4 linked regions of the Caenorhabditis elegans genome follow. The protein of the gene in region 2 interacts with the protein of the main gene of each other region in a pairwise test. Each region holds a gene or a part of one and is shown on either strand. Other genes may lie near its edges.

The links.
Region 1: the proteins of gex-3 (region 2) and puf-6 interact in a two-hybrid assay, tested with the Caenorhabditis elegans proteins (one large-scale study listed by BioGRID).
Region 3: the proteins of gex-3 (region 2) and lin-13 interact in a two-hybrid assay, tested with the Caenorhabditis elegans proteins (one large-scale study listed by BioGRID).
Region 4: the proteins of gex-3 (region 2) and lin-66 interact in a two-hybrid assay, tested with the Caenorhabditis elegans proteins (one large-scale study listed by BioGRID).

Annotation. Positions count from the first base shown.
Region 1 is NC_003280.10:13,038,521-13,046,101, reverse strand, and holds puf-6 (Pumilio domain-containing protein 6), read left to right. Parts: upstream 1-2,656; 5' UTR 2,657-2,691; coding exon 2,692-2,796; intron 2,797-2,866; coding exon 2,867-3,325; intron 3,326-3,996; coding exon 3,997-4,649; intron 4,650-5,681; coding exon 5,682-5,922; 3' UTR 5,923-6,307; downstream 6,308-7,581. UniProt on the Caenorhabditis elegans protein: RNA-binding protein that binds to the consensus sequence 5'-CUCUGUAUCUUGU-3' in mRNA 3'-UTRs and modulates mRNA expression and stability.
Region 2 is NC_003282.8:12,401,836-12,409,913, forward strand, and holds gex-3 (Membrane-associated protein gex-3), read left to right. Parts: upstream 1-2,595; 5' UTR 2,596-2,599; coding exon 2,600-2,711; intron 2,712-2,761; coding exon 2,762-2,862; intron 2,863-2,908; coding exon 2,909-3,058; intron 3,059-3,128; coding exon 3,129-3,500; intron 3,501-3,549; coding exon 3,550-3,598; intron 3,599-3,654; coding exon 3,655-3,868; intron 3,869-3,920; coding exon 3,921-4,230; intron 4,231-4,280; coding exon 4,281-5,022; intron 5,023-5,080; coding exon 5,081-5,305; intron 5,306-5,356; coding exon 5,357-6,178; intron 6,179-6,227; coding exon 6,228-6,340; intron 6,341-6,389; coding exon 6,390-6,605; 3' UTR 6,606-6,855; downstream 6,856-8,078. Other genes in the region: dsb-1 (Double-Strand Break factor), read left to right, coding at 7,100-7,177, 7,223-7,341, 7,391-7,557, 7,606-7,988, 8,039-8,078. UniProt on the Caenorhabditis elegans protein: Rac effector required for tissue morphogenesis, cell migrations and egg laying. May play a role in egg laying and in yolk protein clatherin-mediated endocytosis by oocytes during oogenesis.
Region 3 is NC_003281.10:7,705,407-7,711,928, reverse strand, and holds the start of lin-13 (Zinc finger protein lin-13), read left to right. Parts: upstream 1-2,437; 5' UTR 2,438-2,456; coding exon 2,457-2,537; intron 2,538-2,580; coding exon 2,581-2,762; intron 2,763-3,443; coding exon 3,444-3,917; intron 3,918-3,961; coding exon 3,962-4,178; intron 4,179-4,225; coding exon 4,226-4,570; intron 4,571-4,623; coding exon 4,624-4,880; intron 4,881-4,917; exon of another isoform or gene 4,918-5,067; intron 5,068-5,135; coding exon 5,136-5,337; intron 5,338-5,384; coding exon 5,385-5,932; intron 5,933-5,981; coding exon 5,982-6,060; intron 6,061-6,112; coding exon 6,113-6,522. UniProt on the Caenorhabditis elegans protein: Involved in repression of vulval fate, possibly by a tumor suppressor protein Rb-mediated mechanism. May act in a common pathway with retinoblastoma-like protein homolog lin-35 and hpl-2 to influence the ER stress response in the intestine.
Region 4 is NC_003282.8:13,885,738-13,895,050, forward strand, and holds lin-66 (GATA-type domain-containing protein), read left to right. Parts: upstream 1-2,351; 5' UTR 2,352-2,473; coding exon 2,474-2,612; intron 2,613-2,663; exon of another isoform or gene 2,664-2,684; intron 2,685-2,765; exon of another isoform or gene 2,766-2,786; intron 2,787-3,102; exon of another isoform or gene 3,103-3,123; intron 3,124-3,354; exon of another isoform or gene 3,355-3,375; intron 3,376-3,817; exon of another isoform or gene 3,818-3,839; intron 3,840-4,013; exon of another isoform or gene 4,014-4,051; intron 4,052-4,138; coding exon 4,139-4,407; intron 4,408-4,525; coding exon 4,526-4,806; intron 4,807-4,934; coding exon 4,935-5,082; intron 5,083-5,132; coding exon 5,133-5,537; intron 5,538-5,545; exon of another isoform or gene 5,546-5,569; intron 5,570-5,931; coding exon 5,932-6,388; intron 6,389-6,436; coding exon 6,437-6,621; 3' UTR 6,622-8,248; downstream 8,249-9,313.

The sequences.
Region 1 (7,581 bases), on a different chromosome or scaffold from region 2:
TTTTATTTAACAAAAAAAGAAATTTCAACAAATACAGTTACAGGCCAAAAATCGGTAATTAAACAATCAAATCGAAAAATATTTAAAAAAAAAACAACAAAAAATGATACAGACTTTTAAATCTCGCACTCTAAAGATCGAGCTCGGTGAAGAACTGGCGTCCGTCGCCAATGTCCTTTCGATCGCAATACGGTACGGCCTTAAACTGGCACACTTTGTTGCCGTTCACGTCGAAACAGAACTCCTTGTAGCACGAAGAGCACAGATAGCCTGGCGAGTTGGGAAGCAGATTGTCGTGGTCGACGATCATCCAGCTGAAAAAATTGGATTTAATTGATGATTTTTGCGTTAATCGATTCTCTTTGGATTTTTTTTTCGAAAATTCGAACTCCGATAAAAACTATATTTTTCGGGGGTTTCAAAAAAAATTCCGAATTTCTAAATGCTACTACTCACTGCGCCGACGCCTCCTTGCACGTGTCACATGCAATTCTTCTGAAATTCCGTTCGACGAGGCGGCGTGGAAATTCGACGTTTGTGTGGGATTCATCTCTGCAAAAAAAATTATTCACAAAACATAGAAAAAAAAATTTAAAAAATATTTTTTTCGGGGTATTTTATTTGAAAAAAAAAACAATTTTGATAATCGAAAAATATAAATTTTGTTTAAATAATTGATAAAAACTTATTTTTTAGTGTTTTTTTCATAAACAATTTGAAAAAAATTTTTTAGTAAAAAAAAGAACACATAAATATTTGAGTTTTTTTTAAATCAAAATTTTCGATTTTTCCAGAATTTCCGTACCTCAGGCACAAGTCATTGAAGACGATGAGGTGCTCGCAGACGCCTTGATGAATGTAGACATATGGCTGACCGAGCCGACAAATGAGATCCCCGATCCTCGTCTCCGACATCTGTTTCACGTGCATCGGACCGATGTAGTCGAACTTTTTGGCCCAAGTTCGGATTGTGCTGAAAATTTGGGGTTTTTTGTTGAAATAGAGCAAAAAATAATATATTTCTGAAAAAAAAACCAAAAAATTCGTTTTTATCAACGAAAATGTCTTAATTTTCAGTTTTCTTTTGTTTTTTCCCGATTTTGCGGCGTAAAAAATCATTTTTTCTGAAGACTAACGAAAAATCAATAATTTTCAGAAAAAATTTGTTCCTTTTCGCTCAAAAACACTGAAAAACTTTTAGCCGGCACCCTTGCTCACATCGACGGATCCACAAACTGGTTGCCAGTGTTCGAGTCGATATAAAACGTGTCATGAATGAAGAACATCGACGACGGCCACTTATTTTTCGCCATATCCTTGAACGACGGCTTTTTCTCGCTAAAATCGTCGGAAAACGAGAAATCGATGGGGCACGAGAACGCGTTTTTCAGATCGCGAAGCGTGTGATCTCCGGTGAGCTCGAGCCGATCCGTGACCTTCATCAAACGTCCGAGGCGAATCTCGTGGTATTGAAGGGTACGGGTGTAGCCGAGATACACGGAAATGCTGATGATCAGGTCCTTTTCCGGATGGTCCATGTTCAGTTCGACTTTTGGCGTGGGCAAGGCGGCTTCTCCAACGGAAACCACTTCTTCCTTCACCTCGTCGATCTCATCATCCATAATTTCCTCTTTGATATAAGTCGGAGGCATCAGATGAGGCGATTTCCTTGCCAACGCTCTATGATCGATGTGATCGTAGCGGAGAGAGCGGAGCGCGATCGATTTGAACTGTGGATTGCGGCGCCTGGAGTTCTCGTCGAGCAGAATCGCTTGCGAGCCGAGCCGATTTCTCTCGATGCCACCGTCCATTTCTCTGTTGAAGACCATCGACGAAATGTGGGAGACGCTGGAAAATAGAAAAATAGTAGTTTTTAAGGGTAAAAAAATCGAAAAACCTACTCAATTTGGCGGTAAATGTCTTCCGTGATCTTCTCCGAGAGCCCCGTGGCCTGCTGGAAACTTTCTCAAGCGTTGGAGCCCGAAGCTAGAAGTTTGCATTCCTCTGCGGATGCTTTGGCGAAAAATGCGAACGTTCTGGAAATCAAAAAAAAATAATTTTAGGCCAGAATAACAAAAATTGGAGCTTACTTAAAGCATACAGGCGCAGAGATGAACGGCTGCTCATCTGACTTCATAACAATGTCCATTGACATTTTTCTGCAAAAAAATTGAGTGCAAATGAGTGAAAATGTGTGAAAATCGAGCGAAAATTAAAAAAAAAATCCCAAAATGGGAAGCAAACTATCAAAAACTCCAAGTTTCGTGGTGAAACCTAATACAAAACAGCCATGTGCCTTTAAATCCACCGTAATCCATGAGCACCGCCAAACTCTTCATTTTCGAATTTTGGCGAGCGATTTTTTGCAATTTTTGTGAAAATGTTTAATTTCTCCTAAAAAATCGAATTATAATAATTTTTTTCTTCAAAAATGTAAAAATAAAATAAAAGTGTTCAATAATTTTAAATTTCGCGTCAAAACCTTACTCAAAACAACCATGCACCTTTAAAAATCACCGTAACCCGGGCCACCGCGAAAAATTCAATTTTGAATTTTGATGCGCGGTAATTTAGCGATTTTCGTTGAAATTTACATGTTTTCCTCTCATTTTCACTCTTTTTTCCGTTGAAAATCCTAATTCCCAAAATTTTTCAGCGTCTACTAACCTGTATTCATTCATTTCCGTCTAAATGACCCCGAATCGTAGAAGCACGGACTCGTACAACATGCTCGGCGCGTCGTTCGATTTCGACCCGGATTTCTCGCTTTTGTCGAACAAAACTCACAAGAACAAGGTAGAATATTGCATAAAAACTTCTAATTTAAATAAAAAATATAATAAAAATTTAAAATTCGAATTTCCAGAATCCAAAGCCGCCGGTCAAGCTTCTTCCCTACCGCCACGGAAGCAACACCACCTCCTCCGACTTGGACAACTACATCTTCAACAGTGGATCGGGATCTTCCGACGATGAGACCCCACCACCAGCTGCTCCGATTTTCATTTCGCTCGAAGAGGTGCTGCTCAACGGGCTGCTCATCGATTTCGCAATCGATCCATCGGGCGTAAAGTTCTTGGAGGCCAACTATCCACTGGATTCCGAAGATCAGATTCGTAAAGCCGTCTTCGAGAAGCTCACTGAATCCACGACACTCTTCGTGGGGCTCTGCCACAGTCGAAATGGCAATTTCATCGTTCAGAAGCTCGTCGAGCTCGCAACACCGGCCGAGCAGCGGGAATTGCTTCGTCAAATGATCGACGGAGGGCTTTTGGTCATGTGCAAGGATAAATTCGCATGTCGAGTTGTGCAGTTGGCTCTGCAGGTGGGAGAAATACGTCTCGCCACGGGAATTCCGAAAAATAACTGAATTTTGGCTAAAATCACAATTTTTTGCTAAAGTGTCGCAGCGGTCGGAAATTGATTTTTCTTCGATATTAGCCGAAATTTTGCGATTTTTCCGCCGAAAAACGGTCCCCAGTCTCATCACGACAAATTTTTGTTAAAACAAAAAAGGTGTGCGCCTTCAAAGAGTACTGTAACTCCGAACTTTCATTGCTCCGGAATTTTTTTTAAATCGACGTTTCACTTTTTCCTTCTGTTTTTTTCCAAATTGCATGAAATTGGACGACAACTGTAGAAAAACATTGAAAATCAATTTTTAAAAAAATCCGCAGCAATGAAAGTTTAAAGTTACAGTACTACTTAAAGGTGCACACATTAACGAAAATTTTTTGTCGATGAAAAAAACATAAAAAATGGCTCTTAGAGGAAAATAATTAAATTTTAAGAAATTTTCCCGTAAAAATTGAAATTTGTTCAAAATATCGAAAAACGAAATTTTTCGATTTTGGTTTAAAAAAATCGCGACACAGAAAAGTTGGCAAAAAATTACGTTTTAGCTAAAATTAATCCATTTCTTCGAAATTTTTAGGGCTATTTTTGGTCTTTTTAGGCCTTGCCAGGTGTAATAAATCAATAATTTGTTAATTTCAGAAATTCGACCATTCCAACGTCTTCCAGCTCATCCAAGAGCTCAGCACATTCGACCTGGCGGCAATGTGCACTGATCAAATCTCGATCCACGTGATTCAACGTGTCGTCAAGCAACTTCCAGTTGACATGTGGACCTTTTTCGTGCATTTCCTCTCGTCAGGAGATTCACTGATGGCCGTGTGCCAGGACAAGTATGGATGTCGTCTCGTGCAACAGGTCATCGATAGACTCGCCGAGAATCCCAAGCTCCCGTGTTTCAAATTCCGTATTCAATTGTTGCATTCTCTGATGACGTGTATCGTCCGCAACTGCTACCGGCTGTCTTCCAACGAGTTCGCCAACTACGTCATCCAATACGTCATCAAATCGTCGGGCATCATGGAAATGTACAGAGACACTATCATCGATAAATGCCTGCTCCGTAACTTGCTCTCAATGTCACAGGACAAGTACGCGTCGCACGTCATCGAGGGAGCGTTCTTGTTTGCACCGCCCGCGTTGCTTCACGAGATGATGGAGGAGATTTTCAGTGGATATGTGAAGGATGTCGAGTTGAATCGTGATGCGTTGGATATTCTTCTGTTCCATCAGTATGGCAACTATGTCGTCCAGCAAATGATTTCGATTTGCACCGCCGCTTTAATTGGCAAAGAGTTAGTTTTTTTTTTTGTGATGAAACGTGGTAAAATTCCGGAAAACGGATTTTTAAAATTATTTAGCCGGAAAAAAAGAAGGAAAAACCTTTTATTTTTATCTAAAAGCTAATTTTTTGAAAAATTGAACATTTTTTGAAATAACAAAAAACCAAAAATCGACGCAATTTTTTAAATGATTTTCGCACCACAATACGGTACCAGGTCTCGACACGTCAATTTTTGGTTAAATTCGAAAAAAGTGCGCCTTTAAAGAGTACTTTAACTTCAAATTTTTATAGTCTACTTTTTCTCCCCTGGGTAGAAACTTAAGGATTTTGAATTCAAAAAAATCCATTTTTATCGAGAAACTATGACAAAGCGAGAAAAATACTGCATGTCGATTCGAGACCCCGGGTACCGTATTTTGATCGGAAAAACGTGAAATTTCGCGTCTGAGTATTATTTGAGTTCGGTGAAAAATTTTTTAAAAAATCAGAAATTCGTCTTCATAGAAAAATTTGAATTTTTTTCCGAAAATCCAGAAAGATCCAAAATTTCACAAAGGCAAAAAATTTCTGAACATTCCACGTATTTTGGCAATAGTTCTTAAAAAATCCACATGGTACTAAAGTTTCTGTAAATTTGCCCAATTTTTTTCTTCAAAAAATGATCCACGTGGCTTGGAAAACGGTTTTTTCCGGCAAACGGCAAATTGTCGGAACTAAAATTTTCGGCAAATTGTGATTCGGCACATTTTTTCTGAAAATTTCACAGTCTCAATTTTAATCGGCAAAATTGTACGCATCCTATAAATGTTCCTACATTTATTTTGAAAAGTCAGTAAAATCTATGAAAATATCTAAAGAAATCGGGAGAAAATTTCAAAAAGGCACAGTTTTAAGTGTTTCCGTCTTTTAAAAATCCTTTTAAAAACTTCCGGCAAATCGGCAATTTGCTGAATTTGCCGGAAAAAAAATTGCCGCCCACCCTGATTTGAATATTCACTAATTCTGTAAATCCAAGTGTTAAGGAAAATCTTGTTTTTTCCAGAGAACGTCAACTTCCACCAGCTATTCTGCTTCTCTACTCTGGATGGTACGAGAAAATGAAGCAGCGTGTGCTCCAACACGCCTCCCGTCTCGAGCGTTTCTCATCTGGAAAGAAGATTATCGATTCGGTGATGAGGCATGGAGTCCCTACTGCTGCAGCAATCAATGCACAAGCTGCACCATCATTAATGGAATTGACCGCCCAGTTTGACGCAATGTTCCCCTCGTTCCTGGCTCGTTGAGCATCTTCGACAATTATAGATTTATAGCCCCAGCGTTTTACTTCTTTTTTTTCACAAAATTCTAACCGTAATCCAGCGTAATTCATGTGTAATGGTAATCGATAGATAATAACCCACATTTCTACTCGCCCCAGCAATCACCTACTGCTCCTGTATTATGCAAATTTACATATCATTATTCATTATATATACATATAGCTTCACAATATTGCCACGTGTACATTTTCCCTGTTGTCATCTTTGTTTGTGAGTTGTAGGTCGCCACCAGAATCTTTTTTTGCCCGTTAATTATCTAAAAATTGACGTGGCCGTAATTTATCAAAATTCAAGCAATTTATCGATTTTTACTATTTAACAACAATTAAATACATATAAAGAACTTTCCTAATTTTCAACTGGAATATCAGGAAGCTTATACCCGAATAGCAAAAAGTCAAAATAATACATTTGAATTATTTTTCGCAACAAATACGGACTGCTCAAAACAGTTTCCTCGACGGCCGCCCGTTCCACGGAATCCATTGTGCTGTGTGGGGTCCGGTGATGGAGACTTCCGTCTGGAAAATTCATAGGAGTTGCAATTCCGCTCCATTGGGCTCTCTTGGGTCCCATTGTCCCCAATCAATTACGGTTTTCGCGGTGAGACCCAAACTTGATTAAGACTCACTAATAAAGTTAATTCCATTCTCATCAACTCCCCGCTCGGACAGCAGTCGAAGAAGTTGATTTGTGAAATTTGCACCGTCTAATTGAAAAATTTGGTATTTGACAAGATGAGACGAGAACTCGCATCTCCTGAAACGACAAATATATCAAATTTCACAATGCAAATGCGCTCCATTGAGACTTTATCTATAGAGCGCGTTTACCGATACCAAGATTGTGGGAAAAAGTGACTGTCGTCGAAATCGATTCCTTTATACGGATTTATCGACGAAACATGTTAAATTCTGGGCAAAATGCGGAAATTTATCGTTTTTTTGAGCTTTTCGAAGAAAAAAAATTGAGAGATTTTCAAAAAAATTATTTTTAAACATTTAATTTTCAAAGTTTTCAAAAATTCAGAAACATTTTAGTGTCAAAAGTTTAGCATTTTTGAAAAAAAAAACTCTTAAAAAAGTAAATCATGAATCATATATTATTGAAACTCCGAAGAGAAAATTGGTGGCCTAGTCTCGACGTCTTCGTTTATCCTCAGTCTGTCGAACGGGCAAGTTTAACGAAACTACCATTATGATACAGATTTAGAATTTCGAAACAATGACAGCAAATTGTGAAATGATTGAATCTCTTCTTTTTATTTTTTCCACGAGTTTTTGTCTGTTTTTGTGTTTTTGTAATCCATTACAGTTCACGTTATTTATTTATTTTTAGGGTCAATGAAATTTTTCCGAAATTTTGCAATTTTTTCTCCAAAAATACGGTGTTTCCGATCAGGGGTGAGCGGCAATCGGCGATCGGCGATCGCCGATCGCCGATCGCCGATGGAATTTTTCAATAAATTCATCTCGATTTTTAAAATCTCATGTTTTTTTTTACGATTGTTTTGTTGTTTTTAATTTTTTTTTTGAGTAAATGTTAATTTTTTCGTCGCATTTCCTTACCAAACATGTTGATTTTATTCATTTGTTATTGTTTTTATAAATAACTCGTTAAAAT
Region 2 (8,078 bases):
GGTGGTGAAAGTGAAAGTATAAAGCTGCAAAATTTAATATTAAGAAAACAAAGATCCATTTATAATCAAAGCGATGTCTGCCAGAAAAGACACACTTCCCGCTTTTCCAATTATTTTCTTAAAGTTTCAAAGCGGAAACTTACATAACATACAGAAAAATATGTGTGTTTTCTGAAAATAATTTTGTATTCCTATATTTGAATGTTTCAAGATTCTTCTCAAAAACTTACTCAAAGTTGTAATGCTACCATTTCGACTTTGAGGAAATTTTAAGCAATTTTATCGAAATTTTCAAACAAAAGAAATTTAATTTTTTTAAAAGAACAAGTATTTATCTATTTTTCTGTATAATATTTTATTTAAAAGCTTCGACACAACAACGAGAAACGAGGACATTTGCAACACACATAATCGGTGCCTGCCTGTGCGCCTATAGACCTATAGGCGCAGGCCGCCTAAACCTATGCCTGTAGGCATTAACACCACCACATTCGAATCTTCTCCTTCCGCTTGCCATCATTATTTTATCACCAAATCATTTTGTTTATGAATTTCAAAGACATGTTCAGTCAGGTCTTTCAATGAAAGACCTGTTCCAGGTGGGAACTGAACTGCTTTCCCTTTCCGGGTTTTGCAAATTTATTTGCCAAAGAAACACGAAAAACTGATGTTTGGATTTGAATAAGTTCTTTTGTTTAGATCAAATTACAAGTCAACATTTGGAATAATTATGTTTTGAGAATATTTGGGCTGTAACGAAATATAGAAAATTGCAAAAGTTTTAGAATTATATTTATATCTAGTAAGACTTTAGAGTTATCAAAAAGTCTTGAACTAAGAAAATTGGAAACTTTTAAGATGAATATCTTATTAGTTGACGAATCCTGGATAGCATCTGAAATGTCTGACTATGAGATATAAGCTTTTAGGTCAAAAGCTTGCCATGCACAGTTTCAAAAAGTATGGAATTTTTGAGTTTATTTTAGGTATCTATTCTGTGTTCGTAGACTATGTAGAAGTAAAGTACGAGAAAATGCAATGTAAAATTTCAAAAGAGCCAAGATATGGGCGGAGCCTAATTTGGAAAATCAGTGCAGCATTGTCAAAGTTTATGCTATTAAATACTTAAATCAAAAACTTTGAATTTTAATTTAAAATCACCAACTTGAGTCTTGTCACGATCGAAACATTTCAACTAACGAAACAATCAAAGAGGTACGGTAGTTGAAAAATTCCGCGCGTGCCAGGACCCGATAGAAACTGTTCGATCGGTATTACGCAATGTGTGTAAAACGATTCAAAAGAACAGAAAATAATTGTATTACAGAGAACGGAAGAGATAAAAGTTGTATAGACATATGGAAACTAGAAACACGTTTGACACAGTGAATAGATTGAATGAGGCGAGCTGTAGAAGATGGAGAAGCTGTATGAATGCGATGACTTCGCACCTTTTCTGACAGATTTAAGATGAAGATAGTTGTTTTTTTTGCAAGTTAAATGAAACGAACAAGTGAAAACTTTGAATCCAAAAAGTTTCATAAAAAGATATGAAATGAAGAAAAATGTGTAGAAGTAACAAAAGTGAGTGGAAGTATTCAACGAAAAGCGATGGAAACATTTGAATGAAAGGAAGGCCTCCCGGGAAAGAGGGAGAGAAAGAGAGGCTAACCATCCGTCCGGCCTTTCGTCAAACCCGTTTCTCTCTTTCACAGTTTCCCGATCCTTGCTGGTCTCATGCTTCTTCTTCTTCTCCTCCATCTACAGCCATTTCGGTGTTGTTCGCTATTGTAAACGATGTGAGAATTTCTTCGGACTATCAGAGAGAGAGAGATAGAGAGAGAGAGAGGGAGAGAGACCAGCTATCTATAGCATTTGACCTGATAAGAAAGCCGATTCGAATCGACGGTGGAAAGGTTTGATGAACTAAGCTGCCACGGAGGGACGAAGAGATATAAATTGGAAATATTTGGAAATATCAAATGAAATATTTCGTAATTGGATGTGAAACTGTCTGTCTGTATTTAGGGATTTACAAGGAATTTTTGTTCTTCTCACTAAACAATCACTATACATAAAGTGGGGAAATAATTTGGAAAAATATGATTTTTAAGAAAAGTCGACACAAAAGTTCACAAAAAGCTTGAAAGTTCATAAAAGCAACATATTTGGTGAATAGTTCTTCAGTTTGATTTTATGTTTTTTTTTTCCAAACATTCCAAATATTTTTTTTTGTTCGTTTTTCCAGTTCTTGAACCTCGTCAGTGCCATTCACGGTGATCTAGATCATATTCTGCGGTGACAAATTGCAATAAAACAAGAAGTTTATTCCCCATTAAATAAACTTCTTTTGTAAAAACCTGAAAATCTGTCTGAAAATAGCTTTTTTAAATATTTTCGTGGTCTAGATTTTTCGTGGTCTACATTTTTTATAACGGTCTCCCTCTCTCGTTCAAACTGCCGCCAACAAAAGAGCGCAATAGAGCATGCTTGCACAGCCGTGGTGAGAGACACCTCTTGTTTAATTGAATGCGCCTTTAAACTGTAATCCAATTTGTGACTCATTTCCCCTTCAATTTTCTCTCCAATTTTCAGCAAAATGGCTTACAAAGATGCCAGACAGGTGAAAATTGCTGAAAAACTTGTGATACTGAATGATCGTGCTGCTGGAATGATGACACGGATATACAATATTAAGAAATCAAGCGGCGGTGAGTAGTCTTTGAAAATTTCTGTTGTTATAAAATGCTGAAGATTTCAGATTCAAAAGTGAAACCACAATTTCTTAGCGACAAGAAGATGGAAGGTGCAATCAAACATATAGTTAGAAAGTTTCCTGTTGTTGATTGCAGATCGAATTCAGTGAGTAGTTCAAATTGTTGATTTCTCATGCCGAAATTAATTTCAGTCGACGTTCGAATATGTACAAGAAAAGTCCACGGAAATTACAAAATCTTTATCGCTATATTACTACACATTTGCTGATATTCTTGATTTAAAAGATCACATTATGCAAGTTTTGACAACTATGGAATCATGTCAATGTCAGCTGGATGTGGTGAGTATATTATTGATTTTAAATATTTATATCGTTCGTATAATGTTTAAGCTAAAATTTTATTTTTTAGACGCTCAATTACGACCTGACAACGAGTTATTTGAATCTTGTTGTACATCTCGTCACAATGATGATTCTTTTATCAAGAATTGAAGACCGGAAAGCTGTTCTTGGACTTTTTAATGCGGCATATGATCTACAACACGGACAAAGTGAAGCATCATTTCCAAGATTAGGACAAATGATTCTTGATTATGAAAATCCGTTAAAAAAGCTTCATGAAGATCTCGGACCACTGAACAGGCTAATTTATTCAGCTCTTTCTTCTGTTACACACACATATCAGCGCAGAAACAAGACAGCAGATTCATGGAGAACATCAAATGTTTTCTCGTTGACCGCTGCTCCAGCACAAATTTTATATGCTGCTCAAACAGAAACTGTGAGCAAGTTTTTATTTAATGGAAAATTATTTATGTAAATCGTTTCAGATTGCATGCGAATATCTATCACTCGACGTCATTGATCGATGGATTGTGTGTAAGTTAATATACAAATTAGTATTAAAATGTTTATTAAAATTGTAATATTTTCAGTCTGCGGAACAGTATGCCATTCAACTCTTCTTAACGATGACAACATTAGGCACATGTGGCAGCTGGCACTTCAAATGAATCTGTGTCTTCGCGTTTTCCGAGACGAAACATTTATTGTTCATCAAGAGATTCAAGCGTTTTTAGAATCTTCCAAAGAAAAAAGCAAACGGTTACAAGATGTTAAAGATGCGTTCAATCATGCATCTGTTACTGCGTAAGTTAAAAAATATGATAAACAAAGCGTTTTCTAATAATTTGTATTTCAGAGTTGCCGTCCACGCAGACCGTCGCCGCTTCCTTAGAAGTTCTCTTCGAGAGCTGTCACTTTTACTACGAGATCAGCCCGGACTACTTGGCCCGAAAATTCTCTATGTCTGGATGGCTCTTGGAGCAGGAAGAGATGAGGTCATATGGCTTCTACGGCATCAAGTTGAAGTTCCTGCTATCAGCAAAAAAGGCAGCAGAATGGTCGAGGAGCTTGTTGACAGGCAACTTCCAGAACTGCTATTTTATATGCTGGAATTAAGAGATCTCGTTACGAAATATTATGCAGTGATTCAAAGATACTATCTACAGGTTTTGTTAAAACTTTAAATTTATCTATTTTAAATCTTTTTTATTTTCAGTACGTGTCTAGCTATGATTCAATTGTTGTTTCTGAAGAGATTAACCAAGCAAATGGCCTCACCCAGGAAGAAGCGGTTCTTTTGACCGATTTTGCCAACGAAATAGGAAATATCAACTCTGATACGGATCTTCGTGCTCTTCGACTAGACTGGTTTAGATTTCAAGCTTGGACATCTGCTGCTCGGAGCCATTTCCAACTTTCAAGACATAAAAAACTCGCAATATACATGAATACTTCAGTTTTTCATCTGAAAATGATCGATTTGCAAGACGAGATGCTAAGGGAAACAAGTGATTTATCATTATACTGCTTCTATCCAAAACTCGCTGAAAAACATTGGCTCAACTGTCTCCAGCTACCTGCTCAAGCTCGATATGTGCTCAGTTTTGCACGTCTTGCCGCGCATTTCACAAGCGCCCTCCATGACATGTGTCCTGAAGAAAAAGCATTTATCACTGAAAAAGCCTTGGCTCAATGCAATTCTGTAATTGAAGAGACGTGCAAACAATTGTCATATATCCTGGAAAAAGTGGCTGAACATGAATTCGGATTAGCTTATCAAATGACACCGAGCGCCGTGGCTGTAAGAGTTGTTGCTCAAGTTGTTCAACAGAAAGGATCTGGAAAAGCTGCAGCGGCGGCCGCAGCAGCCGCTCGAGATTATTTCATTGCTGGAGAAGAAAGTTATCGAGTTGATCGTCAAGCATTAACAATGCCTGATAAGTTGCAAACAACTCTTCGTAAGTTTTAAAACGTTTTTTAAATTAGATTTTATATCACAAATTTCCCACTTTTCAGTTGAAATCTCTGCAGCTCTCGGAGCTCATCGTCAAATTTACGTTGCTGATCACACATTTGCACCGAGGACGTACCTAGCGCAGTCCCTTGAAACTAAATTTGTAGAATTGCTTCATGGAATGTTCTGGGAAGGTCAACCACATGCAAGTAATCCAAAAAGACCAAGTGAAATGCTCCTTGCGCTACAAGCCTACATGACGGTTCTTCAAAATCTTGATACAGCAAGTAAGTGGTTTTTAAAATAATCTATAAATATTCTCATAAATGGAATTTCAGTTTCTGTGGATATCAGTAATACAATGCAAACAACTCTTCTACAACAAACTCAACTCGTTGATTCCAAGAATAAAGACACAATCGCAGCACTCTACACGAAATGGTATCTCGAAGTTTTGCTCCGTCGTGCTTCATCTGGTCATATGGTTTGGAGTGAGCATCTACGAACAATGTTATCATCAGGACAGGAACAACTCTCGTTCATGCCCGATCATTATTCAGATCCTCAAGAATTGAGAGCATTGGTTCAAATTATCGGACCTTATGGAGTAAAGTTGATGACTGAACGGCTGATTTGGCACGTGGCCAGTCAAATTATGGAGATGAGCAAGATTGTTGCAACATACAAAGATGCTCTACAGATTGCTAGATCTAATTTCGATAATGCTGAAAAGATGAAGGATGTTTTAAATCTTTTGAGCGTCGAACCAAAGGACAAGAAAACTCCGAACGCAACATGCGCAGCTGATGCAATTCTGCAAAGAACTATTATTATCGGACAGATTTGTCTGTTTCGTGATGCTCTCCACGATGCTCTTCGTCATATCGTCGAATCTAAATTGCCATTTCTTCAAGCATCATTTGATATGCTTTATCACAATTTGGACGATGTTGATAAAGTTAAAATTGGAGAAATGTCAGCTGCGATGGGAGTCACAGGACCAGTTGATATGTCGTTGGTGAATGCGGTTCGTGCTCAAAATCCGAATATTCACCCTCAAGAACACTATGTTAATAGTTGTCTATTGATGGTTGCCGTCGCTATCTGTATTCCACGAATTGGAATGTCGGATCTTTCGTCTTACAAGCCTAGCATTCAAGGTACATACTTTTACAGCTTTTTGCAAAAATTAAAAATAAACAATTTCAGCCAGCTTGAACAATAGTCACTGTGTTCCAATGGCGATTAACACTATCGGATCAGCTCTTTTCCATCTCCACGAGCAAAATGATATCCAGTCGAGGATGAAGGAGTTCTTGGCGGTTAGCTCTATCATTATTAACACATATTCTCACCTAGAAAAATTTTCAGCTCGCGTCCTCGGGTATTCTACGAACTATTCATGAACGTGATAACAGTCGACAAATATCCGACGACGTTCTTCGTTCCCACACAACTCTCTACATTATCCTTGAACAGATGGTTCGGAAAAACCGTTGGCTGTCGATGGATGTTCTTGAAACCTGTTTCCCATATAATCTCGTCCGTACAGCCTACCAACAATGCTACGAGGCTGATGCTCAATAATTTTATCTGCGATCCCAATATGTACAGCTACGATCCCTTCTCACATACTTCCTGTGCCTGTATTTTATTTATTTTATTTTTCTTTCTTCAACGAACCATTACTATACGGGTTCCCGCTTCCGAATACCGCCTTTTTGACTATTATTCCCTGCATTTTCGTGTGAATCATTGCTCCCAAGTACTCATTTTGCCTTCCATTTGGCTTTAATTTATTGCAGTTTGTCGTCATAATAAACTTTTTATCAATTTATCAAAAATTTTTATTTTATCTATTACATAAATGCGATTAAATTTTAAGTTAAAAAAACGAGAATTAGCTAAATTAGATATGCTTGGTAATTTGAATTTGAATTCGCGCGTAAAAGTGATGGATGGGTCTCGCCACGACCGGCATGCAATTTTGAATTTTTTCACATTTTGAGGTCCAATGAGGTCGAAATTTTTAGACATTTTTAGTAAAAAAAAATTATTTATGTTTTTGCAGTCTCTTCAGTATGTTTCCTGAATTGCAGACACTCCAGTGGCCGATCATAAAGTATAAGCAATTGAGAGGAAGCGGTAATCGACAAGAGGTTTTAAAAATAGATGAATTCTGTATCGAAAAGTTAAATTTGCAGGGCAAAGATATTCGCGTTGTTATGGAGGTGAATAGCAGGAAGCTGACGGTTATTCATGGAGTCGAGCCGATCGAGACCGTTTATTGTAACATGGAAGTTTCTAGGTATCCGAGTTTGAAGTGAGTCTTTGTTGTTTGAGAAATTAAAGTCAAATTGCCCGGTTTTCAGAATGAAGAACACAAATTTGTTCGTGATTGTAAACAACCAGGCTCAAGGTTTCCGATTAACTCTTCGTGGCGAAGATCGGGAGAATTTTCTGTCAACTGTCAGAAAATTTGCTTATATTTCGGAGACTCCAGTTAAGGATCATTTGAATCGCTCATCCACAAATACCGGTATTCTTTATTCTTTTAATAGTTTCAAGTTTCATTTTTGAATTATAGATGTGTGGTACAACAGTGTCGAGAAACGGAAGGGAGGATCGTCATCACAGCCGACATCCTTCTCCCAACCATGCGATATTGATATTGGTGGCTCGGTGAAGAAATCCGCGGCAAGAAACTTATCACATACGTATTCCACCAACATTGGTGAAAGTTCCCGGATGCCAGCACTCACAGCAAATGAATTCTTCTCACAGCCAGTCTACAATCCTTACAATAGGCCAGCGTCGAGTGCCAGCACTGTTAGTTCATCGATTGGCTCGGCTTACAGCGTTCTCCACGATGATTCACCATTTTCTGGATTTTCGCCAAATTCGAACCATTCTTTGCAATTTCCGTGTCCCAGCCCATCGCACAGTTCGTCATTTTCCGGATTTTCGCAGGTAAATTGAAAATTAACTGGAATATCCCACCCTATTAAATTAATTTTCAGAGTTCATCACACTCTTCTCAATTGTCCTCCAGTCCCGCAA
Region 3 (6,522 bases), on a different chromosome or scaffold from region 2:
CTTTGTAGTCCCAAAAATTAATTTTTAAAAAGTATTTTTCCGCATAACTGTACTCATAGTTGAAGCTTCAACAGCTGTAGCAAATGATATCGGTGAAAATAATTTTCGAAATTCATTCTATTTATTTTCGGTAGTGTGTTTTCATAACCCCCGCATGCTTTTTTTCTTAAAATGTTCTAACCTTGCTGTGAAAAAAAAACGCGCGAGGGTTGCGAAATAAGCGTGCGCGAAACCGAATTTTTGGTTCCTCCTTTCCTGTTTCCGTAAATCCTGTGCGTTGCGTGCGCGTTGCGGTTTTCGAATTATGGAAGTGCGCTCTACCGAAATTCGCATTGCTCGACATTTTCCTGTTTCTACAGTTATTTACATTTCCCTTTTCAAATGTTTTCAGTAAATCCAAAAGTTTAGTTTTTTGATTATTGTTCTTCTAATTTTTTCTAAAATTTCAAAATTAAAATTCTTTTAGTAACACTACAAATTAATTTATATTGCAAAGTTCCAGTATTAACTTTTCCTAAGCCCAGTATTAACTTTTCAAATCAATATCGAATCTTAATTCTATCCTAATTTCTCTTCTCAAAGTTATTTATTGACTGATTTTTAAACTTTAATCCTATTTTGGAGTTATTGATTCTGCGTTGCGGTCGCGTCGCGGTCACGCCACCCGTTCCTCACTTTTGTAAATTTTCTGAAGGTATCCCAAACGAGAAATCGTGCACAGCGGCTGCGTCGCGGTTTTTCATTTATTCAGTCTCGTTTCGTGTGTGGCTGGTTATTTACGCGGGCTGCCGCCGCCCACTTTCTCTCTTCCCTGCAGTGGCCTAAAATTGTATTGACCGCCGCGAAGTGTCCGCAATTGTGCGCCGTGGTGAACATTAACACACACGGGACCGGAAAAATGTGTAGTGTGTTTTTGAATATTATTTTGTTTTCTAGAGAAAATAAATATAGTTTAGAGTACAGTAAAATTATCGCTGCAAGACCACACTATAGTTGCAGAGTTCTTGACTGAGCGCTTCTTTAAGTTTTCTTGCTTTTATTTTATTTTTCCTGCTCATTGGGTTCAAATGTGGGCTTGCTCGAATTTCCACTTTAGCTGTTTTCTAATTTCGGAGCTGTATACTGTTCAAATCTATAGAATTTAACAATGTACTTTTTTCAAATGAATAAATCTGAAAAATGTGGCACCTGTAGCGATCACTATGACTGTGATCGTGGCGAGACCCGCTCAGAAAAACAACGTGTGCCTTTAAACTGACGAGTGAAATTTGTTGCGAAATTACGATAATAAAACTGGTTGGTGTGTTTGCACAGTTTTCGAAAGTTCTGCCTAATTTTTGGGGTCTGTACTTACGCGACAGAACATTTTATTATTTTCAGTGTACAGTATCCATTTACAGATACCCTTCTTTATTTTGAATCATCTGACCGTTTTAGACCCCAGTCCTTTTTGAATTTGTTTCCGTGGATTACTGTAGTTGCACAGCTAAATTTTTAAATATTTCAAACTGTCGTCAAATATAGCGCCGTAATGTACGCAAACACTTTGGGCAAAACCCATTCACTTTTCTTTTTTCTCCAATCGATTCGTCCTTGCTAGCCCCGTTGCAGTAGACACTGCAGCAGGGCAAAGAAATAGGTCTCGTTTCTCTGCGCCCTCTCCGCTGCTCATAGTCTTCCTACCATCGTTTGTCCGTCTGACCAATAAATATGAGAGACGCAGAGTGGCATATACGCTCTGCGGTACTTTCTATATGACACAGCCTTCAAATTCTCAATTCCAATGCGCGCCAAAAGATCGGTAAAAATTTTTGTCGCAGTTTCAAAATTTTTGTCGATTCCGTAACACGTTTCCGGATTTTGCTTTTTTAAATGAGAATATTATTTTTTCGGGGGTTTTAAAATATATTGAGTTTGAAGTATGACAGGATGTGCGCTGATTCTGCGTGTAGTCGTGTCGAGATCAGTAATTAGTGGGAAAGGGCTCACGAAAGTTCAGAGTTCGGTTTTTTGAAATCATTAGACCTCCAATGAAATAAACTTATCTAATAAAAAACCTAAACATTTTAAAGAGTTCTTATAAGTGTGTTCAATGGGTCGGACACGCCCACATAACCGCGCCCCGTATAAAATTTGTATCATAGTAGTGAGGTTAGCCAACGAATTGCAGTATATTTCACGCGCAAATTTGAAACAATTAAGTTACTGGTATTCACTATACATCGTAAAAAACCGAACAAACGTTTAAAAATACGCAAGTTAGGCGTAAATTAATTTCGAGAACATATGATAGATTCTTGAATAATTATCTTTGATTCAAACTGGAAGTTCATGTAGATTGATATTTTAGTTTTTTTTTGAGATAAAGCTTATCTCCAGTCATTCTTTTCGTTCAGTTCTCTCATTTTTTTCTGTTGCCTTTTTCAAAAAAAATTTCAGCTCTCCAAATAACAACTATGGATGAGTTTGAGCTGTTTCAACAGCTCAACCAAACAGCCCCACTCGTTAAAACGGAGGAGCCAGAAGTTCCAGATGAGGTGAGAATCAGTAATCAAGTTGTTTAAATTACCCCAGAGAAAGTTTCAGCAAGCGAATAACAATCAAAGCGCTCCACTGCGTACAGGATTATCTGATCTCAGTCATGAGATAGCAGCTGCCAAACAGAGAGAAGAAGAGGAGGCACAACGGCTTGCTGATTTTATGCAAAAGGATATGAAAGAGCCTGCTGTCAAGAGGAAGAGAGGATCAGAAGAATATAAAAAGTAGGTTAAGTTTAAGTTATTCAAGGAAACTTTCAAAAATGCACTTAGAAAGCATTCACAGTCAAACATTTGTTAAAATTGCTAAATTTGTGCGAATTTATTTAAATTTGTGCCACTAGAGCGCACTTTCCTCATTCGCAATTCACATTTTTGAGGCCCCACGAAAAGGGGAGCAGAACGAAAAGGGGATCTGCAAAAAGGGGATCTGCGAAAAGGGGAGATACGAAAAGGGGAGATACGAAAAGGGGAGCAACGAAAAGGGGAGCTGGCACAGTGCCAAACGCACAAAACGCTTTTTTATTCTCATTCAACGCACGACTTTGTTATAACCACACTCCGTTATTACGCATCGCGCGTTGTTTAGCGTAAAATACACAAATAATGCGTGCGTTGAATGAGAATAAAAAAAGCGTTTTGTGCGTTTGGCACAGTGCCAGCTCCCCTTTTCGTATCTCCCCTTTTCGCAGATCCCCTTTTTGCAGATCCCCTTTTCGTTCTGCTCCCCTTTTCGTGGGGCCTCACATTTTTCTTGCATCAGGTAATTTTTTAAATTCAATTTAGACTGAGTTTCACCGAGTTTTCATTTAACTGAACGAAATCTAAATACCTGGTTAAATTTTTATTTTTTCATTACCATAAATCAAAAAGGAATTATATTTACACTTACATTGAATATTTCAGAGATCCTCTTGAATCGAAAGCTCCGTTATCCACATTTGGACACTCTTCCCGACCCCGTAGATCAGTAAACTACGCGAGTATTGAACGAGGTGACGAAGCTCAAGCTCAGTCACTGGTTACCGATTTTGGAAGCCGAGGGAACCGGAAAAAGCCGAAAAGAACACGAGATGAGCTGGACGAAAATTATATGGAAGAAAATGAGGGTAATTCTGGCCGAAAGAAGAAACCTAATGCAAAAGGCGCATCCCGTCAATTTCAAGTTCCGGGTTTACCAACCTATGCTAGTCAATATTCAAGACCTCCAAAACAAGAAGATGTGTTTAAAACGATTGTCCCATTAGCAGAAGATGCGCGAGCAGAAGGTGAACGAGTAATTGGATTCCGACTAGATTCACAACCTGCTGTACGGAGGGCTTCTGGAGGATTTCGACGGTTTTGTGCATGGCTCAGTGATAACCAGATTTTTTCGATAATGTTAGTTTCTAAAGCAACGTTCAGATTCTCAATTTAAAATTCAGGCAAACTGTCGATAAACTTTGTATCGTTGGGGCAAATAATGAAGATCATGACGAAATCCTATTGAAAAGTATTCGTCATGTATACAATGCAATGCCTCCAACGTTTCGTCGTGATTGGGAGTATGCTGCAAGGAAGGATGTGTTCGATTCAAGACTTTTTGTTCAAAATATGCCGATGCCGCTTTCCGAAATCTCGGTCACGGACCCGCGTCATCCGGTAAAATTTACGGTTGTTGATATTTATCTAAATCAAAAGTTTTCCAGCCAAGTCCGATTGCGCGCGGGACAACTGTTCGCCCAAATTGCTGTGAAAATCAGCCATTGTTCTTAAATATGTGTGAAACTATTGAACACTACCTAGGACATCATGACGTGGTTCACCTTTTCGGATGTGATATCTGTTACAGAGTTTATCCGTCTCGATATGAATTAACTAAACACGATTGCAAAGAGTTTGCGGAGTACCTGCGTCAATTAACTTTCAAACAGCAAACTTTACATCTTGAAGCCGCGTACATGTACCTCTGCTGTTCTCAGTGCGGATTGTGGCTGTCGGTAAAACCATCAGGCGAAGGAAAGAAAGGATGGACGTATTTTGCAACTGCATTGGTGAGTCATGAGTGATTATACATTTTTTTCTCTGATTACAATTATTTTTACAGATGAACCATTCTTGTCAACCGTTGGTTCCGGTCGTTGCTTACTTCCCAAAACCGTTGAAAGATGAAGGGAAAGGAATACGAATTCAATTTCAAGTGATGTCTGAACTAAACATTGGACTTCCGCTGAGTTGTTCTGAATGTAACATTGAAGAATTTCATTCTGTTGTTGAAATCGAAGAGCATTTCAAAGAAAAACACGAGGCTAATCATACCTGTATAAAATGCGGAAAAACATTTGGAACCGAGTTTATGTTGAAGTGAGTTTTCATTAGAAAAAAATAGTTCATGAAGTTTCAACCACTATTCAAGTTAATCTTATGAAAATTATTGATAAGATGATTATAGAACTGTGGAATATAAACGCGAAGCGAATTATAAAAGCAGAGTGTTACTTTCCAAAAATGTTTTTTTAATGAAATTTTTGGTCTTAGACACTCAGACAACAAATACAATTTAAAGATATTTATTTTTAATTGCTTCGAAACTTTTTTCTTTATTTCTTCAAATTTTAGACATCACGCGCAATCACATACAACTCAAACCGCACAGTTCGCCAACTATTTACAAATGTCGGCTACTTACCAACCACCACCGAGTTCTGGACGTTTGCCATATGTCGGTTTTGGATCGAGTATTCCTGCGATCGGAGGACTCACTAGCGGAGAAGTACAAGCTCTTGAAGCATCAGAAAACAAAAAAAGTGAATTTGTAGAGGTAGAGTGCAGTGAAGCATTTCAAGTTCTAAAATATTCAAATTTCAGCCAGATGAGTACACTATCCGCAAAAAACTACTTCGGTGGAAGCATGCAAAAACTAAGAAGGAAAATCGTAATATTACTGATAGTAACGAGAAGGAATTTTCATACGAACCGGGAGAGTCCTCTGGTGAAGAAGATTTTCAGAAAAGTCTTCTAGAACAAGATAATCAATCTTCGTCTTCTTCTGATTCTGATTCCGATAGTGATGATTTCACATCAAGCAAACAAAAGAAGAAAAGAAATATCAAGATTCGTGGAGATTTGGGATATGAACATATTAATAGAAATAAGTTTTTCGAGCGGCCCGAATCGGAAAAGGAGGCTAGAAAACGAATTGAAAAAGTATACAAGAAGCACGTTTTATTGTCCAGAGAACGTCTTCTTGATCCTGAAGAAGCGCTGAGAATACTAGAGGAATCTCGCATGGTGCATCTGAATTCAATCCAAAGTACCCTAGCGGACGATATTGCAATGAGTTGCATTCGAACTATATCACTTCCTGCATCGAATTGTATAGACCCATTGAAGGACTTGCTGCTGGTTAACAAAATGTAAGAGAATCTATTCTGCGTTATTATCAATTATCGTTAACATTTTCAGCTTCTACTTCTGTACCAAATGCAACTATATTTTCTCCAAAGATCCAGTAGTACATTGCTTGAGCTGCGAAGTTACAGAGGTATGAATTTTTATTTTTATATAAAGTATGTTATGGATATGAATATTTTCAGGACGATCTTATCGAAGTTTATCATGCTGCATCTGGTCCACACGCAGGTGTTCGGTGCATCGATCCCGAATGCAAAGCTCACCTATGCTCCGTGATATCCTTGAAAACTCATCTCAGTGATGTACATTCCAAGCAAGCAACGCTTGAATTAGTTTCCGGTGAACTCGATAATTTCTCTGAAAATCGATTTGATCGATCGCTTATGTTGATGGCAAAACATTTCACTCAATTACAATTCGACGAAAGAACATATCTTGCTCGATTCACCGATATTGAATGCTTCATGCCATTTTCTGGATTATTGGAGGCGAAAGATCAACCACGTCCCATGCCGATCAGGCAGCAGCCACAACAAATCAAACCTGCGTACAGTTTGGTACGACCAGATATTATTGCACCCAATGAACTTAT
Region 4 (9,313 bases), 1.5 Mb from region 2:
TCTGCAATTTTTCAGCGCTGCTTTTTACAGAAAAATAATAAGCTTCCATTTGCAACTCGTCTTCGGTATTATTATATTTCAAAAATAATGAAAAATTGCAAAATATTAATATTGGGTACTGTAGCTGCAAAGTTTCAATCGTTTCGAGACCCAGTACCGTGCTTTTTCTTCAAAAATCGCCAACTTGCGCATCTGAATAATTCGTTAAGCGCCTTTAAACGGGGATTACTGTTTTTTATTACATATTCATTTTCCGTGTTCCCAAAAAAATTTAGCAGCAATATAATTGATTAAATTAGCAGTAGTACAAAAATTTGAAACAAAAACCACAAAAAGTCGTTGCGACACTCGATAAAACCCGCCCGGCAGTCCCAATTAAAATCAATTTTTTTCCGTTTCACTGGATTTACAAAAAATGTTTCTCGAAAATTACAACAATAAAACGAGAACTGGCATGATACTTTTGAAAAAAAAATTCTCAGCTACAGTACCCATGAGTACTGTAGAAATTTATTTTTATTTTTGGTTTCTTTCTGTAGTTTTTGATTTTCAGTTATTTCTTGGGGTAAAAAAACAAAAAAATATTTAATTTGGTGTGAAAAGAGGAAACGTATTGGGAAACACTACAAATATTCTACCGTACTCTTGGGTACGATAGCTGAAAAAATTTCGCTCGTTGCGAGACCCCAATCTGCAAATTTTCAGCGCTTCCGCTTGCAACGCGGCTTCGGTAAAATTTTTGAAAATTTTAAATACAAAAACTACATATGACTTTATTGAAAATCTTGAAAAAGGCCAAATTCCTTTTTAAATAAACGTGGAAAATTGCGAAATAATATTTGTGGGTACTGTAGCTGCAAAGTTTAAGTCGTTTCGAGACCTACTACCGTGTTTTTACTTTAAAACTTGCAAACTTGTACATCTGAGTAATAGCGCCTTTAACCCCGGATTACTGTAGTCTATATTTTATTACACATTCGTCATTTTCCGTGCTCCCAAAAAGTTTAGCTACAATAGAATTGATTAAATTAGCAGTAGCACAAAAATTTGCAACAAAAATCACAAAAAGTCGGTGCGAGACCCGTTAAATCCAGTCCCAATGGAAATACGATTTTTTTTCCGTTTCACTGAATTTATAAAAAATGTTTCTCGAAAATTACAACTGGATTAATTTAATAAGCAGTGCGACATGAGCAAAATTTTCTGAGCTACAGTACTCATGAGTACTGTAGGAATATATTTTTTGTTAATTTTTGGTTTTTTTCTTCTTTAGGTAAAAAAAAACAAAAAACTATTAACTTTCATGTGAAAATATCAAACGTATTGGGAAACCCTACAAATATTCTACCGTACTCTTGGGTACGGTAGCTGGAAAAAATTCGCTCGTCGCGAGACCTCAATCTCGCATTACTGTATCTTATTACACATTCGTCATTTTCCGAGCCCCAAAAAAAGTCCCTAACAACATTTCGCAACTCTAGTACTCCTTATCACTTGAAAAAAAAATAGTAGACTACATCTTATCAACATGTTTTTTGGTTACTTGACAGGTATACTGTAGTAGTGCAGTAGAGCGCACTTGGCTGCGTGGAGGGACCCAGGACCAATTTAAAGCTTGTGAAGCGAGGATAATCCTTTGATGACGCTTCTTCTTCTTCTTCACATGCATATTCATATATTTTTATAGACTATTCTTCTGCTGCAGTACCCTTTCCTGTGTGCTTATTGATTTCCTCTCTCTCTCTCTCTCCATCCCTTTCTCTCTCTCTCAGTCCCCCAATAGATAGATAGACCGGGCCGGGGTGGGCTGAGTGGGTTGTGTGTTGCGTTGCTGGCTCACCCGAACGAAAATGAGGGTGAGTGCGAGAGAGTGCGGAGACGCAGACCTGGTGTCCCTCGGGCACGCTCGCGCACACATATACAGAGTGGTTAGAAGAGTCGTAGACGCCGAGACAGAGAGATCACTACTCTCCGATGAGCGTTTTTGCGCGAGCGAGCGTCCGTGAGCGTGAGTGTTGAGCGGCGGGCACTCTCTCTCTCTTTCTCCTTTCGGGACACAGCGCACATCTTCCCGTCTTTCTCTGTTTTTCTCTAGCTGTCTCTCTCACACGATGCACTCTCCCTCTCTCTCACTACACACAACCCCCATGTTGTTTCTTTTCACATACTTTTTCTCCGTCTTCTCCCCTATTTTTCGTTTTATTCTTCTTATATTTCTATTCAGTTTAGTTTTCATACATATATTTTTGAGTGCGTATGTTGCTGCCCAAATTCTGTTCTTTTACTTTTTCCTTCTAAGTCATCTCCGATCCTTAACCAACTACTCTAATCTAATCAAATCAGTATTCCAGTATTCTCGAGGCACCGAGGATCCATCACGTCATCCATCCCGAACGATCGATCGACGTGTTGTGTTGTCTGTGGTGTGTGAATCGACGCGACGACGAACGGACTGAAGACAGCTTGAAACGGGATGTCTTACGAAATGAATAGTCTCTTCTCGTCGAATCAGCAACCACTCGGAGGGGGACCACCACCTCAACAACAATCACAGCAGCAGCAACAGCCACCACAGTCGTTATGGTCACTCCAACAGTTTTCGCAGATGGGAGGTAAGGAAGCACCCCACCAGTACTCAAAGATCAATATCGATCCGAGCCCCCGATTGTCTAGCTCTAAGTTCAACAATACCTCTCCTACAAGGAAGGCTTTAGTGTGCATCGTATAACGGTACTGGATACGATAACATATATAAAAGTTCATATGCAAATCTTTTAAAAGCGTTAATATGTTTGATTCTTAAGCTTCTGCTTTATAACCATTGTGAAACAGTACTTTTTTGTTCGTGTGCACCATAGGACTAAAGGACTAGAGTTACTATAAATGTACTCCTAGATACCCAGGTTTTCTAGGTTAGACCCTTTAAGGAGTACCGTAGATTTTTAAGAGATCTCGTGTTGTAGTCTTTACAGGATCCGCTTGACTTATTGGTTACTGTAGAGGTACTCGAATCACGGTACTGGATACGTAAGCATATACCGTATTTCGTCTATTAATCGTGATCTCTTTTAGTCTTGCATGCAATACTAAAACAGGAAATTCGGAATTAAATTGGACCAAACAATATTTTTGATTCTCACGCGTTTGCTTTATATCCATTGTGTAACAGTATTTTTTCTGATAATCTAGGTTCACGGGACTAGCCAATTAAAATTATAAAGGTACTCCTAGGAACCTCAAGTTTTCTACGGTAGACCCTTTAGAGGCAGCCGTATCATTTGTGAATATTACGGAATACGGTAGATTTTCAAGAGATCTGGTACTGTAGTTGTAGGATCCGCTCGACATTTAAGGTTTTGTCGGAATGAAATGGTATTACTTTTCCTTCCTACCTGTTAACCTTTATAGATATTATGAAGCAATATTTTGTGAGGGGCCGGGTCCCGCAGCGAAATCATATTTTTTAATAAAAATGTGATTAGCATTACATGCCCCTGTAAAACGGAACCTTACGAAGGCAATGGGTAGTGCAAATGCACTCTACCGAACCAGGTTGCAGTGACTACAGTTATACGGCACACAAATTGCGTACAGGGATCACTTCTCGAGCACCTTGTACCCACGGCCATCATATAACTTCTACGTACCTTAACCTACCGTAGTTTCAACTTTGTGCATTGTGTCAAATGCCTAGGACGCTTATGATTACGCAATTTTTAAAGTACGGTGAGCAATTAGAGGGGACCTAGAATAAATTCGAAACGCACTCCATTTTATAGTTTTAACTTCCATTTCACCCTCCATTCAAATTTTTTCTAGAACAACCTACTAATTGAAAACTGAGGTAAATTTGTCAGGTGCCAATATTTCCGTTAAATTTGAAACAGTAGAATTGTAAACTAATAGTAAAAAGTTAGTGTTCAAACATTCGATCCCGTACCGTAACCTATCGTAGTTTCCACGTTGGGTACTATCAGCGAAAAAACCTAAGATATTCATGATTAAGCAAAAATTCAAAACGAAGTGAGCTCGCATTGCGGGTTCATAATTAATTTTTAGGTTTTAATATTTTTTAAAAATCAAATAGTTGAAACTGCAAAATTTTTTAATTTTTCTCCCAGACATCAGTTTATTTCAGCCCCGGACAACTTTGGGAACCACGCGGTCCCATTCATGCCAACACTCGGAATGCTGAATCAGTACCAGAACCCACATCCACTTCAGATGGTCCCTCCACAGCCTCTCGTCACTCCATCCCAAGTCCTTCCACCGTCTATGGCTGAACAACAGAGAGCCGACACCATCCATGGATTCGGAGTGTTGACTTGGTTGTCTGCCAAGGCTGGTCTGATCACTTGCAAGGACAAGATGATCATCTCGTTCCAGCTCAAGGACTTTTGTGATCAGGTTAGTACAAACCCTTTTCGATTATAAAGTACCTTATAAAATTAGCTAATCTAATTACCCATATGATCTCTATGATCTACCAAGGTTAGCCTCACTTCAACATCTGACAAATTTTCAGATGCTCAATGACTTGACTTCCGTGCTTCGTGTTGGTTTCACATTGTCGTTCCACGCTGCACTCAATGAGACAAGCGAGTACACCGCCACCATTGTCTCACCAATCTATGGTCCCGATGCTGATGTTCTCTTTGCAAACTCCCAAGAAGTCGACCTAGAGGCGGCAAATCCAACTCCACCAAACTCGAAGGATGCCTACTCGCCGGCTCTCGAGCAGAAGGCGATTCCAGCTCTCTTGGCAATTTTCCAACGCCACGGATTGCAGCAGATTCAGCTGAGCAGGTAGGATAGATGTTTTGAAAGTTGCTTGATTGCTAAGTTTCGCTCTTTTGTGCCTCCTTTCTATATATTAACTGACCATTCCCTTGCTCACCTTATTTGTTCGACGGCATCTCCATGACACCCTTCAGGAGTTTCAGCCTTCACTCTCAAATGTCCAACTGTGGGGATGATGAGCTATTCCGTTATGTTGGCACATCATCGTTGAAGCGTCGTCAATTCGTGGAGCGTCGTACTCATCTCTTCCGTCTTCAAAATGATGACTCCATCATTCTTCAGGTAAGCAATTCTTCAGAAGATTTAGATATTCTAAATCTATTCCATTTCAGTATCCAGCAGTGTATCAAGCTGTCTACCAATTGGCATCCTATCTTCTCCGTCGTGGTGGAGCCACATCAATCCAGTCGCTGTTCGACTACTACGGTAGCCCAGACATCATGCCAGAAGTTCGTAGCCATACTGGAGAAGGACGTCAGGACTTCCTCAACCTGCTGACTGCTCACAACTGGGTCTTTGCTCTGTTCCCCAACCGCACCTATGTCTCTGTTCGTCGCAATCTGCCAAACTATGACTATGTCGGATTCATCAAGCAGCACTTCCAAGAAATGGATATTACTCGTTCCCAGCAGATGGCTTACGGACAGCCACCACGTGGAATTCAGAGAACCATGTCGGCTCAGATGGGCAGCTCGTTCGCCACTGGAAGACCACAGAATTTGCTCATGCAGCATCAGGTAAGTATATCCATGATTAGATTAACAACGTAGCGGTTTTTTCCAAAATCACAAAATATTTCACAAGATGATGAAACAGTAGTTATCACTTTCAAATAGTTGAGTTGTGAGGTGAACACTGCAATGCCGTAGAGCTTTGTCGTGCTTGATCAAAAGACACGAATAGTTCTAGAATATCTGTAGCGCTGTAATTTTCAGGAAGCAAATTTTCTGGGGCCACAGTAGATCACCCATCGTTCTACTTTGACAGCCTATATCTCGGGTGTCCTTAGCTTTATCAAAAATTGTTCAACTATAGCGCAAACTTTTGTAAATTTCACAAATTCGTAACTTGACCATGCTCTTCACGTGCTGAAAATTCAAATTTCTATAAACAAAACTACATCTTTTTCAGCACGCCATGACTCCAGCAGCGACCCGCTCGGGCTCCCTCTGGGACTCTCAATCTTCCCTCTCTCAAAGCGGAAACAGTGGAGACCAATGGAGCCCTCTCTTCTCCCCAAGCACCTGGTCGAACAACACCAACGCGAATCCACGTCTCACTTCTCTTACTCCGTTGAGCTCGATGAACGAGACGCTTCTCTCGGGAGTCAACTACAACTCGTTGCTCGCCATGCCGCCAAGCGCCAAGAACGAGAGAAGCATTGGTGTTCAGGCTGATGACTTTTTGGATCGTATGTCTTACAATCCAATTGGACGTACCGGATGCACTTGTCAGTGCCAGTGTGGAAGAGGTGGAGCTGCGATCATTGGAAACACTCGTGGATCCTCTTCCAGAGCTTCTGGAGGATCGGCAAGCCCACCAAGTGCTGACGGTGCCAGCCAGATTGATCGTTTCTCGCCATCCAATCGTAAGTCAAAACTACAATGGGAACTAATTATAAATTTACAATTTTTAGATGCCGGATCAATTGGAGACCGTACTCTTACCGCCGCGGCTCTCGGTGTCGGCCTAGTCGACCAACAGCCAGCAGCCCCAAACCACGATGGTAGTGCTAACCAACCTCAGCGCTACTATGACCCTTTCGGAACCGCCGACTTGCTCAACGGCACCCGTTTGAACTCACTCCGTATTGGTAACTGAGTGATTGTACATACCAAATTTCTTTGTCATACTTCATACCCCATTTTTGATGTTCTTTCGTTTTTTGCTTTTCACCGAGTCTAAACCACACACATATTCACACGCAGTAATTCTAAGTCCCCACCCAACTCATCATCAATCTCTGTTCTCAAAAAATGTTTCTTTCCCTGTTTTTTTCCCTTGAAAAAGTCATCCCATTCACACTCCTCTTCCTCTTCCTCCCTCATTCAAACATGTAATTTTATAGCCGAACGGGTTAGTCAAAGACGCTTGTGCTATAATATGAGATACTTATCAAAATGTTTTTTTTCCGGCAAACCTGGAAACAAGTCGCGTAGAACTTTATCGTTCGGGTTTCGTGTTTTCTGGTGATTTAGTCAGTCTTTTTTTTATTTACTGTTTCTGAAAACACATTTTAAATTTCAAATTTCAAACCCCCATTTCACTTACACGTTTTTGTCTTGCCTTCACTTTTTCTAAGTTCCCCAAAACAATTTTTTTTGCAAAACCTACTCTCTGTGATTCCATTATAGGCAATTTGATAGATAGTGTTACTTACTAGTCATTCTCTTTTTTTCTCTCTCTCACTCACTCAAAAAAAGCTGTGTTACAAGTGCAAAACTCCTCCACTCCAACTCTGGGATCCCAATTTAACAAAAATTCTTGTATTTTCATTCAAAATAATTCGGTAATTCTATGTCTCTCGCTCTCTCCCTTAAAACAGTGATTTTGGTGCATTCATTCAGGTATTTTCACACTCTTTGATCGATTCACACCCACACCCACACACACCACTCCCATTTCTGTCGCAACCCTGTTACGTGTAAAAATTTGCAACCATCCGAATATACATCTATTGTAAACCTGTAAAACCCTACCACAACCCCCCGTACCGTAGAAATTTCAAAATTAGTACTACTTTGGAAAGCGCGACCCGGGAAGCGTCGGCTGCAACACACAGAGCGTTGCTGAGGCTATAGCTGTGATGCGCGCAACTCGGAAAGTGTCGGCTGCAGCACACGGAGTGTGAGAGCAGTTTTCCATAGTAGTTCTTCCCTTAAAACATTTTAAAAAAGTAAAAATCTTCCAAAAAAAAATTAGTCAACTAAATTAGTAGTTTGATGAGCTCTGGTCTTCCTCCATTCACCTCTCTCATTCACACTCTCTCTCTCTCACCTTCTCTCTATGTCTTTCCGTCTCTTGAACACTGTACGCGTCTCAATTTCCAATGATCTGTTTCCCCCCAAAAAATATTTGTCGAGGCTATTACCCCCTTTTTTATTTTTATTTTAATGTTTCAATATATCTTTAAAATCCACCACCATCCTTTGCAATATTATCTTTAAATATCACCTTTTTCCATACCATGTTTGCCTTTTCAACTCCCCTTACTTTTTTACAAGTTGGCTCTCACTCGTTCATTTCTCACCCCCTGTTTGGTACCTGTTTAAACGAAAGTGTCCTTTTCTCTCAACACAAACCACTGCAACTAAAAACCCCAACCCATTCACTCGAGTTTTCCACGATTGCACACGATTTTTAATTTGTGTATCATAATGATTTGATTGTCGGAATTCTTTTTTTTTCAAATGTTTCTCATTATTTTAATAAAACCCCACAAAATCGGATTTTATTGATTCATACTCCACCATCAAAAGTGTATTCAGAAAAATATGAAAATATTTTGCAATGGGTTCATCAATGGCCTCAATTCCAGTTTTACAGTAAAAGAAAATAGACATTTAATTTTAGTGATTTTTTTTCAAAATTCTACTGCTTCAATAATAAGATTTGTTTGTATTGTGGTTCAATGTTGATTCTATGCGAGATCATCTTAAATTAAATTTTAAAGGCTAGGTATATTTCGCAGTCAATTATACAAAATAACATTGTGGAAAACCTTTTTTTGGGGATATTTTTTAAAAATCTATAGGTTTTATAAAAATTCAATTTTACTTGTTTAATTTAGTACTGAATTCATCCAAATTTATTTCGGGTTTTCAAATAATCTAGCACACTTTGAGCAATTTTTCGTAGTCCAAGAAACCAAAAAAATTAGAAAAAAATAATTTTAATAGTCTCATCGAAAGAACGAGGGAACGTACATAATTATTCAGTTGTAGTAAATTTATCGGATAAAATTACTGTTTCATTAACAAAACAGAACACTGTTATGGTCATGTTCAATCTCTTGCAATCTCGTGACTTCCTGCAAAAGTATGTAAGAGAAAAAGTTTAAAAAATGTTTAAAAATTGTAGAAAACGTTAAAAAATATAAAAATATTTTCAGGTTTGCTCGTTCTAGTATTCAATTATGCTCTTGCAGTACAGTCATAATTCTATCAAATGTTTCACATTATTTTAATAAAAACCCACAAAATCGGATTTTATTGAATCATGTAGAATTGTCAAAAGTATATCCAGAAAAATATTAGCATATTTTGTTAAGGAGTCATAATGCCTCAATTCCTGGGCCCAATTCCAGTTTCACAGTGAAAGTAAATAAACATTTAATTTTAGTGAATTTCTCAAAAATTCTACTGTTTCAATAACCATGTATAAGAAACCGTAATAATGGTTAAATGTTTCATGACTCAATTTTTTTTCAATTTTCTTAAAGAGCAATGTGGAAAATCTTATTCGGGGATATTTTTTAAAAATCTGTGAATATAGATTTTATAAAAACTTAATT